Linked DNA regions of Macaca fascicularis. The protein of the gene in region 1 purifies or fractionates together with the protein of each later gene. This does not show direct contact. Links are inferred from orthologs where the notes say so. Each region holds a gene or a part of one and is shown on either strand. Other genes may lie near its edges.

Region 1 (4,376 bases):
TTGTTTTTGAGATAGAGTCTCATTCTGTTGCCCAGGCTGGGGTGTAGTGGCACAATCTCGGCTCACTGCAATCTCTGCCTCCCTGGTTCAAGTGATTCTCCTGCCTCAGCCTCCTGAGTAGCTGGGATTACAGGTGGGCGCCACAATGCCCAGCTAATTTTTGTATTTTTTAGTAGAGATGGGGTTTCACCATGTTGGCCAGGCTGGTCTCGAACACCTGACCTCAGGTGATCCGCCTGCCTCAGCCTCCCAAAGTGCTAGGATTACAGGTGTGAGACACCATGCCAATCCCAGCACTTTGTGAGGCCAAGGTGGGAAGACTGAGGCCAGGCGTTTGAGACTACCCTGGGCAACATAGCAAGACGCCTCTCTCTACAAAAATAGAAATAAATATGCTGGACACGGTGGCACACTCCTGTAGTTCTAGCTACTCAGGAGACTGAGATGGGAAGGATTGCTTGAGCCCAGAAGTTCAAGGCTGCAGTGAGCTATGATCGCTCACTGCACTCCAGCCTGAGCAACAGCAAAACCCCTGAGCAACAGCAAAACCCCGTTTCTAAAAAAAAAAAAAAAAAAAAAGCATGGTGTCTGGCACATAAGAGCAATTCTTGGAAACCATGTGTCCCATACTTCATGGCCCCTGACTCTGCTCCTTTTGCCAAGGGGAAATAGGCAGTGCAAGGTAAATCTCTCCACCCCTCTTTTCTCAGTTAGTACTGTACCTCACTTTTCTTTTTCAGTTTGCAGACTTGGTGACTCCTGCCTCCTCCCCTCCCTGGCTTAGTGAGGAAGATCCCTGCCACTGGCTCTACTTTCCAGCTGATCACAGCTATTTACCTGTCCCAGTCTTGAGTAAGGCACAAAATATTTACAGAAAACAGACGTCTTTCAGAGGACTTGCTAAGTGTAATAGTGAAGATTACTTGCATACTGCTACTTTCCAATCAATTAAAAAAAAGAAATAGAAAACTTTGTATTACAAAGAAATCACAACACGAACGCAGTTTAAAGCCTCTCCTTTATCCACTTTTTTGCTTGACTCCCTAAACCATCTGTGATGTTAGCTGAGACTCGAATTTACATAAGAGCCAGAAACCATCAACCCAACCTCTTCACACACTAACGTCTACATTCGTGTCTTTAAAAAAGACTTAAACTTTGGCTCATGTGGGAGGTGGTGGTAGTGGTGGAGACTTAATAAAAGGTGGTTTCGTCTTCCTGAAGTGGAAATATAGCACCGTCAACATCTTTTCCCCATCTGGCTGTTTCCTCCTTCCCTTTCTGTTTAAGGAAAGTGTAACCACCGTACTTCTCCCCACCTCGCCGCACCTCCCCCAACAAACGCAAGCAACTGAACCGCCTATGATGTCATAATCACAATCCCATTACCTCATCCTGCTGAGGGGGGGCGGAGAGAGAGGAGAGGGAGTGAACAGCCCTGGGCTATCCTGAGCTTTACAAAGTGTTCTGGGTGAGTGCAAATTACAGAACCAAGTGGAAACGTCCCCGCAACCATTGTAAGTTCTGGGTTTTTAAGGTTCAGGCCGATCCGGCAGCTGCAAGAGCGGCTCCTGGGACTCCGAGCAGGCCCTAATCGGCGCTTGGACCACACTTCCCAGCAGCCTTCACGCCGCGGACGGGTCCTTTGCTGGGGGAAGGGGGCTTCCTTCGCAGAGGTGGTCGTGGAGGGCGGGGCAGCCGAGCAGGTGAGGGGCACTGTGGCTAATGGCATGACGCGGGCCGAACCGAGTGGGAGGCTGCAGTTGGGCCGATGGAGGGAGGGAGGGCAGGGGCGATGCCTTTGTTTACCTTCTCCCGACATGGCCTCCCCCGCGGGTTTCAAGATGTACCTCCAACTGGGACCGTCCACTTTCTGCGATATTTTGGAGGGGGTGACTCGTTAGTGAGGAAACCACCCCCATCCCTAAATCAAAGCGCCAGGCTCGTTCCCGACAGCGCTGTCCGAGAGAGACTTTGAGAGAGACACGACACGAAGCTGCCCTCTCCGTGGGTGGCTCGGGGGGATTCTGCGAGCCGGAGCTGTCCCACTACTCTCCTCAGGGACTCGTTGGTTCGCGCCAGCGCCTTTTAAGGACACCGTGGGGCGAACGGAGCGCTCAGAGCTGCTCCGGCCGCGGCCCTGGGAGCTGGAGGAGCTGCGGTAGGTGGCGGAGGGCAGGTGGCGCTGGGGCCTCGGGGCGGGCACCTCAACTGTCCCTCCCTCCTTTCCTCTTTCCCCTCCCCCAGCCCGACCGCCCGCGCGGCCGGGCCTCGCAGGCCGCCTCCGCGGGGAGAGCACGGGACCCGGTGGGGGAGGGGGTGGCGAAGTGCTAAGTCCCAGACCCTCCCCATCCCTTGCGTCCTGAGTTCGCTTCCCGCGGCCAGATGATGGAACCTAGTGGGAAGAGGCGAACGACAGCCCCCCCTGAGCGAGCCCTGGCGCCCCCCCGCTCCGGGGACCAGCGGACGCCCCATGCCCCACCCCGCGGGGACAGGCAGGGCAACAGAGGGAGAGGTTGAAGATTGGAGGGGCCTAGCCTTTTGCTTCTTCATGGGGGTGGGGGGAGGGGTGTTCCCCACTTGTCACCCCTTTCCCCAGCAGAACCATATGGAGGAAGAGCAGGCAGGTCTCCACCTACCTGTTCATGCACCTCCCTGCCTTCCTCATGTTTTCCTTCAGTCTCCCCAAGAGGTGTGGGGCCGTGACCTGGGGGGAAGGTCCCCAAGGGATTTGTGACTCTCCTCCCTGTTGGCCTGACCTGATCCTACCTTGTCTAGGTTCAGCACAACCTCAGCATCCCTGAAACAGGAGTGTCAGGGGTTACTGCCATCCAATAGGAGATGGGGTGGGGGTCTGATCTTTATTTTTGGGGGCTGCTGGTGGAGGGAAAGCCTGAACTGAGAGTTAGGCCTGGTGGGGTTGCTGAGAGGGCCTAGCGGCCTGCTGCTCTCTGAAGGGCTGAGCCCCGTGCCAGTTGTTAAACTGAGAAGTTTTAACTTGTTTAGTGACTGTTCAGGGCTGTCTCTACCCTTCAGATACACAAAATGGAAGGGGAAGGAAGGCGGCAAGAGAGGGCTTCTTACACTTTTTTCAATGCCTGCTTGAGAAAGAGGAGGCCCCTCGCGGAGCTGGTTTGCCTTCTTTTGTGTCCTGGTTTGATTCCTTATGGCTTCCGTTCTGTTCCCCCTCTCAGCCTGGCCTGTTTTAGGAAACTCAGGCTGAGAGTATCAGTTGCGTGGTGGTAGTTGCATTGTTCCAATTACCGCTGTGTGTGGCCACATCCCAACAATTAAAATGCAGAAAAACACAAATTCACTCTCTTGACTTGATCCTAGAGATGGCTGGGAGTTTGCTGTTTGTCCAAATGCCTCATGAAAAGCTAGAGAGTTTGCTTCACTCCCTGCTCCTCATAGCTGGTTAGCCTGAGGCCTGGGGTCTGGGGGGTAAAATCCTGCACTTAGGTTCCCTCTCTGGTTGATCTTTGAGGGCAGCAGAGTTAAGAAACCAGGAGCAGAAGTAATATAAGCTTTAGCTTCTCCCGTAAGCATATAGGGGAAGCAGCTGAAGAGAGCTCCCCGGAAGCTAGAATTTTGTTCAGGGTGGTAATAATTATGCATGAAAATGATAGTTAACTATAACGATGATTGACTTCTCTTGCACCTTTCTTCCAAAGAACTCCAAATACATACAGGTTTATCTCTTTGCTCTTCCTTATGGCCTCCTCCTGAGGTGTGAGTGGGGTAGAGATAATTTCCTCTTCTTTGTAGAGTGATCTGTCCCCAAGGTCACAGAAGGAACAGCCCTCTTGGGCTTTTCTTAGTGTACAGGTGAGGGAGGATGGTATTCAGCCAGAGAGATAGACCCTATTGCCTTCTTCATCTTATTGATTTCATTACTTCTGACATTCTGAGGCCTTGAAGATTCACAAACGGGAACAAGAAATGGTAGTCTATGTGGACTCCTGATTTTTATAGGCCAGATGGTACATTTTGTACATTTTAATATGTTATATTGTTCCTGTGACAGGTTAAGATTATTCTGCCCACTTTACATATGGGTAAACTGAGGCCAGCGAGTATTAAATGATTTGTCAAAACTCTTAGCAAATTGGACTAATAATTAGATTTCTTGATGATTTGTTCTATTGACTAGCTAATGCTACACACATTCTCTGGTAAGCTGTCAGCTTGCTGGTCATTTCCGGGAATAGACAGAATAAAATCAAGACACTGGCTTAACCTCCCCTTTTCCCTTGAGCAAGGCCCCTCAGGTAATTGTGTGGGCTTGAAGCCTGTTCTCTGATACAGTTAGTTTGCTTCTATCAGAAGTTGACCATGAGAAAGAATCTTGGTTAACTGTATCCATGGACTTTGCA
Region 2 (4,256 bases), on another chromosome or scaffold:
AGTGATTCACAAGTCCAGACTGGCTACAGCTTCCCGGCTCCTGGAGTCCCAGCTGTATTACCTCAGACCAGTCAGTGCCCCTTCTCCAGGCTCAGTCTCCTCATCTGTAAAATGGGAACAGTTCCTACCGGCTGGGCAAGCTGGTCGCTCCACGGAAAACCCTGAGAACAGCGCCTGGCACTTGTGAAAACCATATTCTAAGGCGTATTTTCTGACAATTTGGGAGGAATTCAAGAACCAAATGGTGCTGGCATTCCTGCGCTGCGCCTAGATTACGGGATTCGTGTCACCTAGGGTTGGGCTAAAGGCACAGGCAAGGAACCGAAGTCACTGACTCACTAATTTTACCATTTTTAACTATTTCAGATTAGGGAGGAGCCTTTGGCCAAGAGCTGAACTGCTCAGCAGCTTCAGTGGCTCCGAAGCGAGAGTGGGTTTGTGCCTATAAATAGACTCGTGAAGTTTTGTGGCGATACACAGGTATCCATTCTAATTCACCTCTCCTCAGCCACCAACTCCCCCGGCTGCCGGGCAGGTCATCCCTCCACCCCGAGCCGCCGGGGACACTCGCGCTCCCCGCCCAACATCGGAGACCAGTGAGTGCCCCTCGCTCAGGCGCGGACCCCCAGGGCCGCCGAGGCAGCGGCTCCCGACCTTCCCCGGCGCCCGGCCCGGCCCCGCCGTCCTCGCCCAGCCGGCCCCATTTTCTTAACCCGTGCATTGTCCTTGCGAAGCACCCCGGCGGTTCCCACACTGGTGGGGACCGAGAGGAGGGACGAGGGAGGAGCTGGGGGAAGAAGATGAGGAGGAAGAGGAGGAGGAAGACAACCTCCACCCCTTCGCTCGGGCGGCCAGTGAAGGTCTGGCGCTGTCTACGGCCCCCCAGGCCCCGGCTCCCGGGAGGCCGCGGCCCCCGCTCCCACCCTCCGCAACTTTCCCTCCGCTCGCGCCCGCCGCTCCTTTGGGACCGGGCCTGAGGCTCCCTCCCCCGGCGGCCGGCCCAGGGCCCGCGGCGCCTCCTCCTAAAATGGCAGGTCCCTCCCTCCGCCCGGCCGGCCTCGGCTCGGGCCCGGCTGCGGGCCGCCGGGGTAGCCGAGCGCCGAGCCGGGCGGGGCCGCGGCCGGGCCGGACACTCACCGGGACGATGGCGGGGCGCTCGCGCCGCTTCCTCCGGTGAGTCTCAGCCTCGGGCTCCCGCGCCGCGCTCCCGCTCCCGCCGCGGCCTCCGCAGCCAGCGCCGCCCCGGCCGCCTCTCTCCGCCCCCGGCGCTCCGGCTCCTGGCCGCGCCGCAGCCTGCTCAGTCTCTCCTCGGCTCGCGGTTCCAGCGGCGCCCGGGGCCGGGGAGGCGACAGCCCCCTCCCCGGCAAATACCGCAGTCCCCGGGCCCCGATTCCCGGCGGCGGGGCCGCGCGGCCCGGCCCGGCACAGAGGGCGGCGGCGGCGAGGCCGGGCGCCGAGCGGCGGCTGCTGCCGGCGGCTTCTTCCCGAGGAGGATTTTGTAAATCTCACAAAATGGCGCGCGCTCCGAACCTGCGCAGCGAGAAGCGCCGGGGCCCGGGCGGCGGCGGCGGCTCCTCCGCCAGGAGAGCCCGAACCGCCCGCCCCCGAGTCCCCGCACAGACAGACAGACACTCGCACACACCCGCACACTCGCGCGCACACTCGCCCTCGCACACGCTCCCTCGCACACACTCGCACTCACACCGGTCCCGCCCGCTCGCCGGCGGCGGCAGCGGCACCAACAGCAGCAGCAGGAACAGCAGCAGCAGAAGCGGCGGCGGCGGCGCCCGCACCCCCCGCTCGGGGTGTCCGCTCTCTGAGCCCGACCTGGGCCGCGATCAGCAGCAGCGACGGCAGCAGTCTCCCCGGATACCCCCGCCGCGGTTGCCGCCGCCACCCCCGCCTCACTCCAATGGGGCTTTTTATTATTATTCGGGCGGGAAGCGAAAGGGTTTAAAAAAAAACCAACCAACAAAATGGCGACGGACCGACCCGGTCGCTATAGCAACTGTCAATCAAAACGCAAAACCCCGGCTGACGTGCTGACGTCCTCCTCCCGCCCCCCGGCCCCGATCCGGCGGGCGGGGCCTGTTGCTCAGGTAACGGCAGATTCCGTTCCCTCCTTTCCGTCTCCCCCTCCGTCCCCAGCCAACCACCCAACCCCCTCAGGTCACGTGAAGGATAAATTCGGAGCTCGGGCCCGCTACGAGTGTCAGAGGAGGGCGCGTGATTCGCCCGGGGGAGGGGAGAGGAGGGGGACGGCTAGGCCGAGAGAGGGTAGGGACTGGGGAAGGGGGGGCGAGGCGGCGGCCAGGCCTGTGCGCGAGCGCCCGCCGCCTCCCGGCCGCCTCGCCCCGCCCCGCGCCCGCGCCGACTGCGGCCCGGGGAGCGCGCGCGGCCTCCCGCGCCGCCGCCCCCGCAGCCCTAGCGCCCCGCGCTTCCGCGTTGGCGCCCGCAGCCCCGCCCGCGCCGGGGGGAGGGGAGGGCTGCCCCGGGCGGGGGCGGGGGAGGGGGAGGGTCGGGGCGCCGCGGCCTTCGGGCAGGGACCCGGGAAGCCCACCCCGCACGCCCGGGCCTGGAGGGCTCTCACCGCGGTCCGGACGCCGCGCTCGCCTTTCTCCCCGGGAAGCGCGCCGGCCGCGGCCGGCCGCGCGTGGAGCCGGTTCTTCGAAGGGCTCGCGGGCCTCCTCGCCGGAAAATGCCGGCGGAGGCCGCGGTGGGGGCGGGGAGGAGCCGCCGCCGGGCCCCAGACATCGCAGGAATTCCGGACGCTGCGCCGGGCCCCGGCGGCCCTGAGGCTGGCACCCGGCTCCGGTCGGGCCGCTCGGGTTTTGTGGCGCCCGAGACCAGCGTTGGGAAATTAGGCTGGAGCCATCATGAAAACTTTTTCAGGCTGTGCACGCTCGCCCGTCCCTGCCCATCTGCTTCCAACCCCTCCCCACCTTTCTGGGCGCAGCCTGCCTGCTCCATCGGAATGCCCCTTAGATAAATCCCCTTGTGCTGTTACTGTGTCCTTGTCGTCCAGCTCCCTGGTTTTCTTTTCTGTGCAGCTCCTCGGTTTCCAGCGTCTTAATTTGCCTACTTGTCCTTAACCATCAAAACTCTTTATTAATATCCTGGCTTTCGCTGATTTTTATTCTGTCTACCCCTTCTGCCTGCCTATGTATTGCTGGGTGAGCTCCTGAGGCTTGAAAACCCAAGTATGCCATGCTGGCTGCGTTGTAACCGGCATAGAGCCACCAGCTAAAAATTGTATTTTGTACCAGCTCTAATGGCATTTAATAAATGTATAGCTTAAAAAAGTGTGTGTGTGTACTATTTTACAGCAGAGTCACTAATTGATTTCTAAGCTTGATTTTGCCTCCTTGTGATAGTGTTCATAACCAATTTTTTTCATAAACCTCACAAATATAGTAGCAACAGATAAAATTTTATAAACGATATTAGGTGTAAAAAACTAGCAGTAAATACCGCTGTGTATGCTACATGACTCAAAGACACCTGCTTTAAATGATTTCCAGCAAAAATGTCCTTGCTACAGTTACTAGGACATTGATGTACTAAGGTAACCATTCAGATTAGCACAGACTGAAAGAAATCCGACTAAACCGAAAATAAACTGGTCAAAAAGTAATTACTAAGGTAGCCATTCAGATTAGCACAGACTTGGAAAGAAACCTGACTAAACCGAAAATAAATTGGTCAAAAAGTAATCGGGCAAATAGCTTGCTTTCAGACTGATCTCCATAATATAAAAAAAAAGTTGCCGTAACGGGCAAAAGTTCTTTCGGATTATTGTTTCAAAATTGCCCTGCTAATGTGATTAAAGTCCACGGTCAACTTAATTGTTTTGAAGAAAGAGGAAGTGGCCCAGAGCGCCCCTTATTCAGAGGAGAGGTCGCTACCTGGTTCCTCCCAAGCTCAAACTTCCACCTATACAACCAACTCCTTCCTCTCTGCTCCCGGGTCTCTCTTTCCTGCCCCCACCCCATCCCACCCCGTTAACCAAGCTTTCGCTTCTATCAGAGCACGTCAGCATTTGCAACCTTTAGTACTAAATTAAATTTGACTCAAAGTTTTATTCCTGGTAATGGAAGAAACTTGCGTAGTTAATCTTCTTAGGTAACCGGAACAGAATATGACAGTGTCTCAAGATATGTGTCCTTGTCTTCAGTTCAAATCAACCCAGAAGATCATCGGAGTAGGGCAGAATCTTGAGATTAGAAACGTGTGGGAATAGAAGGCATCGCTGGTCT

Evidence for each region.
Region 2: the proteins of FAM53C (region 1) and DYRK1A purify together in Homo sapiens (affinity purification with mass spectrometry; 8 studies listed by BioGRID and IntAct, counting the BioPlex papers as one, with this or other methods). This does not show direct contact. The link is inferred for Macaca fascicularis from reciprocal best matches to the Homo sapiens genes FAM53C and DYRK1A.

Annotation. Positions count from the first base shown.
Region 1 is NC_088380.1:144,835,542-144,839,917, forward strand, and holds the start of FAM53C (protein FAM53C), read left to right. Parts: upstream 1-1,392; 5' UTR 1,393-1,517; exon of another isoform or gene 1,518-1,706; intron 1,707-2,119; exon of another isoform or gene 2,120-2,161; intron 2,162-4,376.
Region 2 is NC_088377.1:9,632,316-9,636,571, forward strand, and holds the start of DYRK1A (dual specificity tyrosine-phosphorylation-regulated kinase 1A), read right to left. Parts: upstream 2,924-4,256; 5' UTR 2,591-2,923; intron 1,999-2,590; exon of another isoform or gene 1,970-1,998; intron 1,744-1,969; exon of another isoform or gene 1,138-1,743; intron 1-1,137. UniProt on the Homo sapiens protein: Dual-specificity kinase which possesses both serine/threonine and tyrosine kinase activities. Exhibits a substrate preference for proline at position P+1 and arginine at position P-3.